Canis lupus familiaris: one gene and its partner. The protein of the gene in region 1 purifies or fractionates together with the protein of each later gene. This does not show direct contact. Links are inferred from orthologs where the notes say so. Each region holds a gene or a part of one and is shown in the gene's direction. Other genes may lie near its edges.

Evidence for each region.
Region 2: the proteins of FNTB (region 1) and DYRK1A purify together in Homo sapiens (affinity purification with mass spectrometry; 3 studies listed by BioGRID, counting the BioPlex papers as one). This does not show direct contact. The link is inferred for Canis lupus familiaris from reciprocal best matches to the Homo sapiens genes FNTB and DYRK1A.

What each region holds. Positions count from the first base shown.
Region 1 is NC_049229.1:39,638,184-39,642,694, forward strand, and holds the start of FNTB (protein farnesyltransferase subunit beta), read left to right. Parts: upstream 1-1,579; 5' UTR 1,580-1,673; coding exon 1,674-1,817; exon of another isoform or gene 1,818-1,825; intron 1,826-4,511. UniProt on the Homo sapiens protein: Essential subunit of the farnesyltransferase complex. Catalyzes the transfer of a farnesyl moiety from farnesyl diphosphate to a cysteine at the fourth position from the C-terminus of several proteins having the C-terminal sequence Cys-aliphatic-aliphatic-X.
Region 2 is NC_049252.1:32,311,525-32,315,339, forward strand, and holds part of DYRK1A (dual specificity tyrosine-phosphorylation-regulated kinase 1A), read left to right. Parts: intron 1-1,633; coding exon 1,634-1,774; intron 1,775-3,815. UniProt on the Homo sapiens protein: Dual-specificity kinase which possesses both serine/threonine and tyrosine kinase activities. Exhibits a substrate preference for proline at position P+1 and arginine at position P-3.

The sequences.
Region 1 (4,511 bases):
TTCAAAACAGAACCAAGAGAAAGACAATAAGATGCCAACAGAGAGGGAAGTACAGTGCAGCCATATCCATGACCCTAACCCACACAGGGTCATTTATTCTCAGATTTAGAAACATTTTGCCACCTACAGGACTTAACTTAGCAACAGTACCACTGCAATGAACATGGTGATAGTGTTTACTTGTCTGAGGACTTTAGGCCATCCCAGCCTCATCTTTAGGATCTTTCTGAGAGCTTCTATTTAACACCAGAGACGGATAAAAGGGGAATGGTTGGTTGTGAAATGCCACACCACAGTTCCTTGGGTTCCAGACGTGTGACTTGGAATTGAGGGGCAACAGAGTAAAATACCCTGAGCAGGAAGTTGTCCAAGTCTGGACAGGGCCAAGTCTATCTGGAAGGCCTGTTATTACAGTATCTTCTGCCCCCTCCCCCAATTCTTGGCATTATAATTTTGACGTAGTCCTTTCAGGACCCTGAAAGAGAGTCTCTTCTATTCCTTGTCCAAAGACAGGATTTCCCTAAAATCACAACTTTAACATTTTTATGGAGGCATATATGATGATTAATCCTACTCAATAAGAATTGTTTATTCTGAATACCTTTAGATTAAATCATTATAATTAAAACACATACATAAGTATATTTGTGGCAGTGTTCTCTCAGACTTACTGTTGCTTCCTCTAGGGAGCTCTTCCCCATATTGTTCATGTGGATGGCTCCTTGTCATCCTTTGGGTCTAAGAGAGGCCTCAGAGGGGCTTGGCCTGACCACCCAATCTAATTAGTCCAGTCCTCCTTTCAGTCTCTTGTAGACTGTTATTTTCTTTCATACCATTTATGGCAAGTCTTCATATATTATTGCGTTCATTCATTAATTCTGTCAATTCCACTAGACTATAAGGTTCCTAGGGGCAGGGAGCTTGTTTGTTTTGTTCACTTTTGTATACCTAGGGCCTAGCACACTGTTTGACATATAGTAGGTGCTCCCTAAAAAACTGCCTGATAAACGAGTATTTCCTTTGTCGTTTCACTTATACTTGTTCCTTTTACTGCGCTTTAGACCCTACTACTGTATTGTGGCTCCCTGGGGGACAATAGGAGACAACTACAATGCCTCTTCCCTCCATCCCTGAGTACCGAGAAGGCAATTCCCTCGTTGAGAAGCCGACGGTTTCTCCTGGGCGGCTCCCACGCACCCAAAGGTGCACAGTAATTCTATTAGCGATAGTGTGTCTGAGTCAGGAGATGTGTCAAAAAATGTTTTTTGAGTTTCACAGTTCTTGGGCATCCGAAACTGCGAACGACTGCCATTGCAATTAGGCGACAATTAGCACAATGTCGAAGTGTGCGTGCCTGCGTGTGTTAATTTGCACAACGACCCGAGGAGTCCTACACCATCTCTCGGAAATGAAATCCAGATTGGAGAGACCCATCCGTCCTTCCGTGCGCTCCAGGCAGCTGAGCCTCCTGCAGCAGCTCCTCTTGCCCAATGGGGGGCAGCAGCATCCCAGTAACCCTCTCCCCGAAGCTGTGTGGGTGGGTGGAGAGCGATTCGCGTTCAAAGTCTTTTTGACTCGACCCGCTCTCCGTAGCGCTTTAGCCCGCTTGAGTTTCAATGCGCGTTGTTGTTTGACGAAGGGAGTCCTATACACCGCCCGCTGCTCTCCTGACCATGGCTTCTCCGAGTTCCTTCACCTACTATTGCCCTCCATCTTCCTCCCCTGTCTGGTCAGAGCCGCTGTACAGTCTGAGGCCCGAGCACGCGCGGGAGCGGTTGCAGGACGACTCGGTGGAAACAGTCACGTCCGTAGAACAGGTGAGGCGGCCGGACTGAGCGAGGCGCCCACGCGGGGGCTTCTGGGAGCGGGAGTCCCGTCCGCAGGGCCGTAGGCGTGCGGAACTCACCGATGAACTACGACTCCCACAGTGCACCGCGGCGCCTCCCCTCTGGGAAGCTCTGGGCGCCCAGGCTGGGTCGGGTTGGGGAATGGAGCGTTTGTGGGGCCAGGTTGGGGAGAGGGTCGGCGTCAGGGTTGGGTTTGGAGGCGAGGACAGTACCTGGGTCCTCTCTGCCGAAGGAAGCGGAGAGGATCGTGTGCTGTGCCTGGAGGTCCGCAGCAGCCCGGGCCGGTCGGACCGCCGGTTTCACTCCGCCGGGACAGTGGGAGGTGGTCGGATGGATGGTGCGCTTCCCTAACCCTGCTCGCAGTGCTGGGACGTGGAGGTGAGGAGGAGCGGCCAGACCGCGCTCCTGCCGTTCCGGATCTGCTTGATTGCTGAGCCACAGTGCCAGGTGTAGGGCCTGCCTCGTGAGTGGGCGCTTTGGGATTCAATCGTTCGAGCCCCAGCAAAGGGACGGGCACAATGTTAAACGCTGGAAATACAAAGAAATAAAACAGCTTCTGATCATGAGCGTGGCACAGCCCTGTTGAGGAAAACAGTACTGTTCGGAAAGCGCCATAATAAAAGAATGCATTTTAGACAACTCACCCTTCATTCACTGAGGCCTCGAACCTGTCCCTTCGACAAGTGTTCGAGGAGTCGGTAGTGAACTCTTTTGGTTTTCTTTTCATTCTCCATTTGGAATTGTTCCCAGGTTATTGTGGAAATGTATGCCCACCCGTCACTAGAAGTGGTTGAGATGATCCTTTTTAGTACTAACAAGTAGTATCGGGCTGTAGTATTAACAAATAAAGTTAGATCTCTTAGTAAGATAGTACCCAGGCTTAACCTAGGAGACTTGCTTTGACTTTCACACCCGAACTTGGAAGCCTGTAATTGGGCAAAATTAGTAGTGATAGTTATCATATTTTATATTTATGACTATGAATATAATTATGCATTCATAACAAAAGACTTGAATACACGGTCATACACATAACAGCAGAAAGAATATTGTAACTGGAGATTTATGCCACATGGGTTTTAACCCTTACCTTTTGAATGTAGCTCCCCAGCTTAGTTAACCCACCAGTGTGTCTTTCTACAGAAGCCTTTTGCAAAAGATTGCAAGGAAATCTCCCATCAATGAAAAACCTACAGGATCTTTGCAGTATTCCTAAGTGGCAGACTGTAGAGTTTATTCAGGTCAAGCCTTTTCCTTTTCATGTGACGTGAAACTATTGGGTCACTTTTTATGTAGTTAATTGACCCAGAAGATAGGCATATGGACGGAATTCTAGTGGAGAAAAAGGAATCAGGGCCTCCTGGGTGGCTTAGCTGGTTGGGTGTCTGCCTTAGGCTCAGGTCATGATCCCGGGGTCCTGGGATTGAGCCCCGCATCAGCCTTCCTGCTTGATGGGGAGCCTGCGTTTCCCTCTTCCTCTACTGTTCCCCCATGCTTATGCTTTCTTGCTCTCTCTTTCAAATAAATAAATAAATCTTAAAAAAAAAGAAAAGAAAAGAAAAGGAAATCAGAAGCTCATCTATTAATTTAGCGTACAGGACAGAGATTTCCATGGTTCAAGGGGCAAGTCAGAAAACAGGAATATTATTAGAAGTTTTACTGCTATGCTCTCTTTTTCCTATACTGCTAACCGCCCCCCCCCCCTCCCCTGCCAGTAGAGCACCCCTGCTTAGTTCCTGCCAGGAAATACTAGCACTTATACTCTAAGTGTCTAGGTGTAATAAGTGATGCAAAAATGGATGCAACAAGATTCTGGGCTGTCAAAGGGTCAGCCAAGGACAAGGCTAGGCTCTGATATGGAACATTGTTATTATAGGGTGTCTTTCAAATGTAGGCCCAACTATGTGATAGATAATAAAGCATCCTGTATGTCTTTAACATGTCATTCTTCCAGTTCACATTTTTAAAGTCTGGGATAAACAGTTCTAGAGAGTAGAAAGATGATGTAGTGTCTCATATAGATGGTTACCTCAGTTTCAGCATTACTAATAATCATAGCAGCATCCATTTACGGAGTCCCAGTTCTGTGCTAAATGCTCTCCATACATTGTATCAGTCAATCTTTTTCCATTTCACAGATGAGAAAACTGAAGCTTAGAGAGGTACTAGGTGGGTAGGTTAATGATGAGGTATATCATAAGAAATACCAACCTTGTTAGGAGGCATTGTCTACAGAAGAAACTAGTTATTCTTTTGGTTCTGTCCATTTTTTCATAGGGATTTAATGACAGGGTTCAATTTTGTGCCATTACCAATAAGAACAAATGCTTGTCTCTGTTTCCTGTCTGATTATCAATTTAAATTAAAGTAAAATTATTTTTAATTTAAATTTAATTATTATATTAGTTAAATTATTTAAATTAAATTATTATTTAAACCTATAAATAGTGTAAAGAGCGCTTAGCTATGGATTCTTCTGTTCTGTTCACTCACATTTTTATTCATTCAGCAAATGAGTGTCTTCTATGTGCCAGGCACTGTTAAAGGTACTGGATGTAAGGCAATGAACAAAAGAGGCCAAGCTGCTGCCTTTATGAAACTTTTCTTCTAGGCCAGGGAGGCAGTCAACAAAAAAAGGAAAAAAAACTATCCATACATTTATAT
Region 2 (3,815 bases), on another chromosome or scaffold:
TTTTTTAGAAAAAGATGCCTACTTACCAATTTAAATATTCAAATGTTGGGTCAGTCTTTAATTTGCATTTATCCATTTTTAAATTTTTTCAATTATCCTAATGGGGAATTTAGGATTTTGAGATGGGGGTGAGATTTTTTAATTTGCTGGTAAGAACAGTAAGTTAGTTTAGAAAATGTTAAGCCTTTTGATTTATATTTTACAGATTTTCAGTATAACAAAAATAATGATAAAAGGCCTGAGGGACACTCTGAAAACAATGTAAACATCACTGTGTAAATTTTGAGAATATGATTTGGAATAAAGAAGTGATGACCAGTAGCCTTAAATTGGGTATTTGATCTGAATAATTGAGGGTGAATTAAGATGATAGAATTTTAGAGCTACACACTATGTGTAATTATTCTAATTCATGGGTTTTCAGTCTATGTTCTTAGAAGATGTTTGGGGATCAGAGCCAGTGCCTAGGAGGGCATGGGAGAGTCATACTCTCTGGCAGTCAGAGGAATTGGCCTTTCATTGGTTTAAAACCTTGTGAAGTTTTCATTTTTTAAAGAAAAGTTACGCATTACAGATCTTGATCAGTCCATGCATTTATAAATAAGAGAGAATGGCCAACGAAATTTAATGACTTACTTATACTGGGTTATATAGCTGTTAGTATCGTATCAGAAACCTGTCCCTTCCATCTTGCTAATTCACTCGAACTATAGGTTGTGAGCCACTCATGGGCAGTAACTGGCATAGTGTGTGTTTGATAATGTTTCGTTATAAAATACAATTATATTCTCTTAAATCACCTGAAACTTCAGTGGCTTCCATTTTATTCATTGTAAAATCCAAGTCCTTTGAGTGGCTCGAAAATCCCCCCACTCCCTCTACCTCCTGCCTCCTCTGTGCAGTGTTGCCTCCCTTACTTTCTCTGCCAGCACACAGCCTTACTCTGTGGTCCCTTGGAAACAGTAGCCACAGGCCCAGACTAACTGAGGCCTTTGCATTAGTTCTTCCCTGTGCCTTAGAGGCCCTTCCCCAGGGGGCATGTGGCTCTTCCCTCCTGGCCACAGATCTTCAGCTCCTCCGTCTTCTCCGTGATCCTCTAGTACCAGTGGATGACAGTACCCTGTCACTCTCCATCCCTTTTCCTTCCTCCATAGGTCTTAGTTGCCATGGACAAAATATATTTAACTGTGTATTTGTCTATTATTGATCTCTTCCCTCTATGATACCAACTTTTTGGCAGTGATTTTTATCTGTTTTATTTATTGCTCTGTGTATGGTTTCTAGCATGTAGTAGACACTTGTATTTGAGCGAATGAATCTGTGCTTAAAAATATACTTTATTCGGTCCACACTTTATTAAGCCTCTGGGATTTTTTTTTTTTTTTTGATGGTTATTTGATTTTATGTGTTTAATTGTCTGCCCTGTCCTGTATGGCATGAGGGGACTGCAGGGCGACAGGGAGTTTCTCTTTTGTTCATGATTGTATGCTCAGTGCCTGGAGGTGTGCCTGACACTCGGGAGGTACTCTGTTTGTTTATAATTCAGGAATGAATGAATGGATGGATGGATGAACAGAATTAGGATGTACTACAGTGGAAGTTACAGGCTTTTTAATTTTTATTTTCAATACAGGTAGATCAGATGAATAAAATAGTGGAAGTTCTGAGTATCCCACCTGCTCATATTCTTGACCAAGCACCAAAAGCAAGAAAGTTCTTTGAGAAGTTGCCAGATGGCACTTGGAACTTAAAGAAGACCAAAGATGGAAAACGGGTAAAATAGGGAAACTTTGTTTTTTGAGTCTTTGTTACTTATTTTACGAGAGCAGTCTTTCTTTCTGTAGCTCATCTTGCATCACTTGAAATCCGTGTTTCAGTTAACAGTTTGATTAATAACGTTGGTGTATGCTTCTTTAGATGGTGGGTGTAGTTTGACCTGATGTGTCTGTTTGGACCAGTGTTTGTTTCATGGTCAGAGTTAAGGCTTCATTTTGAAAACTCTGTGTCTGCTTTGTGAGACAGCCAATCAAACCACCATGCCTCATTGCGGCAGTAGAATCCGTCAGTTTGACCTTTTTTCCTCACAGTGTGGGTCTGTGATGAAGTCCCAGTTAACAGTACCGCAGCTGTGAGCAACAGAGGTCATAATTGCAGTAAATCGCCTTTTTTTTTTTTTTTTTTTCAGTTGGGGGGGAAGGGATTTTTGACTTAGGCAATTTGTGACAAGAATATGAACTGACTTAGAGAGTCATTGGATAGATTCCTGGAGATTCTTATTCTTAGGTCAGTGGCATGGATAGCAGGAATGTCAAATCTCCAAAATACTCAAAGTGAGGTTTTCAAATCACTAAGTTTGTTTTAGTAATCTTCTTTTAGCTGAGAAGTTTTTTCAGATCCTTAAGTGATGTCAGTTTAACAGAGTAAATGATAGCAATTTTGCATCTTGATTTACTTTTTGTTTTATGTATCTGAAAATAATCGTATGTTGTGATCTAGCTTATTTCTAGTATAAAATGAATGTCATATATAAATATCTGGTTGTATGTGATATGTATACCAGACACCTTGTGATTCTAGTTTTGCATTCTTAATATTTAGGAGATTTTATTTTTGCTCCAAGTTTTATTTTGCCCTTGCATTTTAGCGATGCTGCCACCAGGTGTCATTTCCAGTGAACTGAAGATGATGGTTGTTTGCTTTAATTCACCTTCATGTAGCTGTGGAGTCTCAACTTTCATTATCGAATGATTTTCTTTAGAATATTTAAAAATATATCTGTAATTAAGGGTTTCCCAGCTGATTTGTAACCTACTGCATTCTGCTTTATTTATTAAAGTTCCAGGTAATGGAGTATCTGGCAGCTGAATTGTGCCCACTCCCCTTAAGAAAGGGGTGGGTAATGCCATGCAAGCCTCCTGAGTCCTTTTGCCTTCATCCACATCGGTAGCTTCTCAGGCCTGGCCCCTTTCCCCTTCAACCAAAACACAGCCTCCTCGGAATCCTTCTTAGTTTCCCCAGCATTTAAAGTAGCTCCTACCAGTTGATTGGAATTAGGGTGGAGGATATGAAACCTCCTTTATAGTTCTTATCTCTGTGCAATACAGGCTACTACTTTCTCCATTTTGAAGTGTTTTTTTTTTTCCTTCTGCCTGTTGTTTCTTTTTTCTAAATAAAACATTCATCCCATCCCATTCATATCCCTGTCTTATAAAACCACAGTTAAGCCACTATGGGCTGTAACCTTTCATTTCTCCCAAATTGAGCTATGAGTATTTTAAAAAATTATTTGGGGAGGCATTTCAGAAATGAAAAGAGAAATCTTTTCCCTTTTTAAAATTGAAAGTGAGTATCATAACCTGCATTTAATACATATTAACTATAGGTTTTATGAGATTTCCTTAGCTGCAATTAGCAACTGACTTAAGAAACTTAATTTTTAAAATATAAAATAACTATTTTGTTTTTGAATAGAAGTAAATTTTGCAACGACAGAAACATCAAATCCATAACCAAATGTTTACATTATAAAGGATGCACTAGGGAATTTAAGCATAAGTATAAATTGAGTTGCACGTGTTCTCATTGGATTTGTGTTTATTTTCTCAGTGATTTTATTTTACTTTTAATTTCTCAACGTGTGTTTCAAGAGCCCATTTTAGCTTCTTGGTAATGAAATCTATATCTACTATATGTGTTTTTTTTTAGTGAGGGAGGTGGATGAAGAATTAAGGTTCTGTTTTGTTAAAGTATAATTTTTGTACAACATAGGCATACCTTAAGTGTTTGTTTTGTTTTAATCTTACGTACAGCAATGT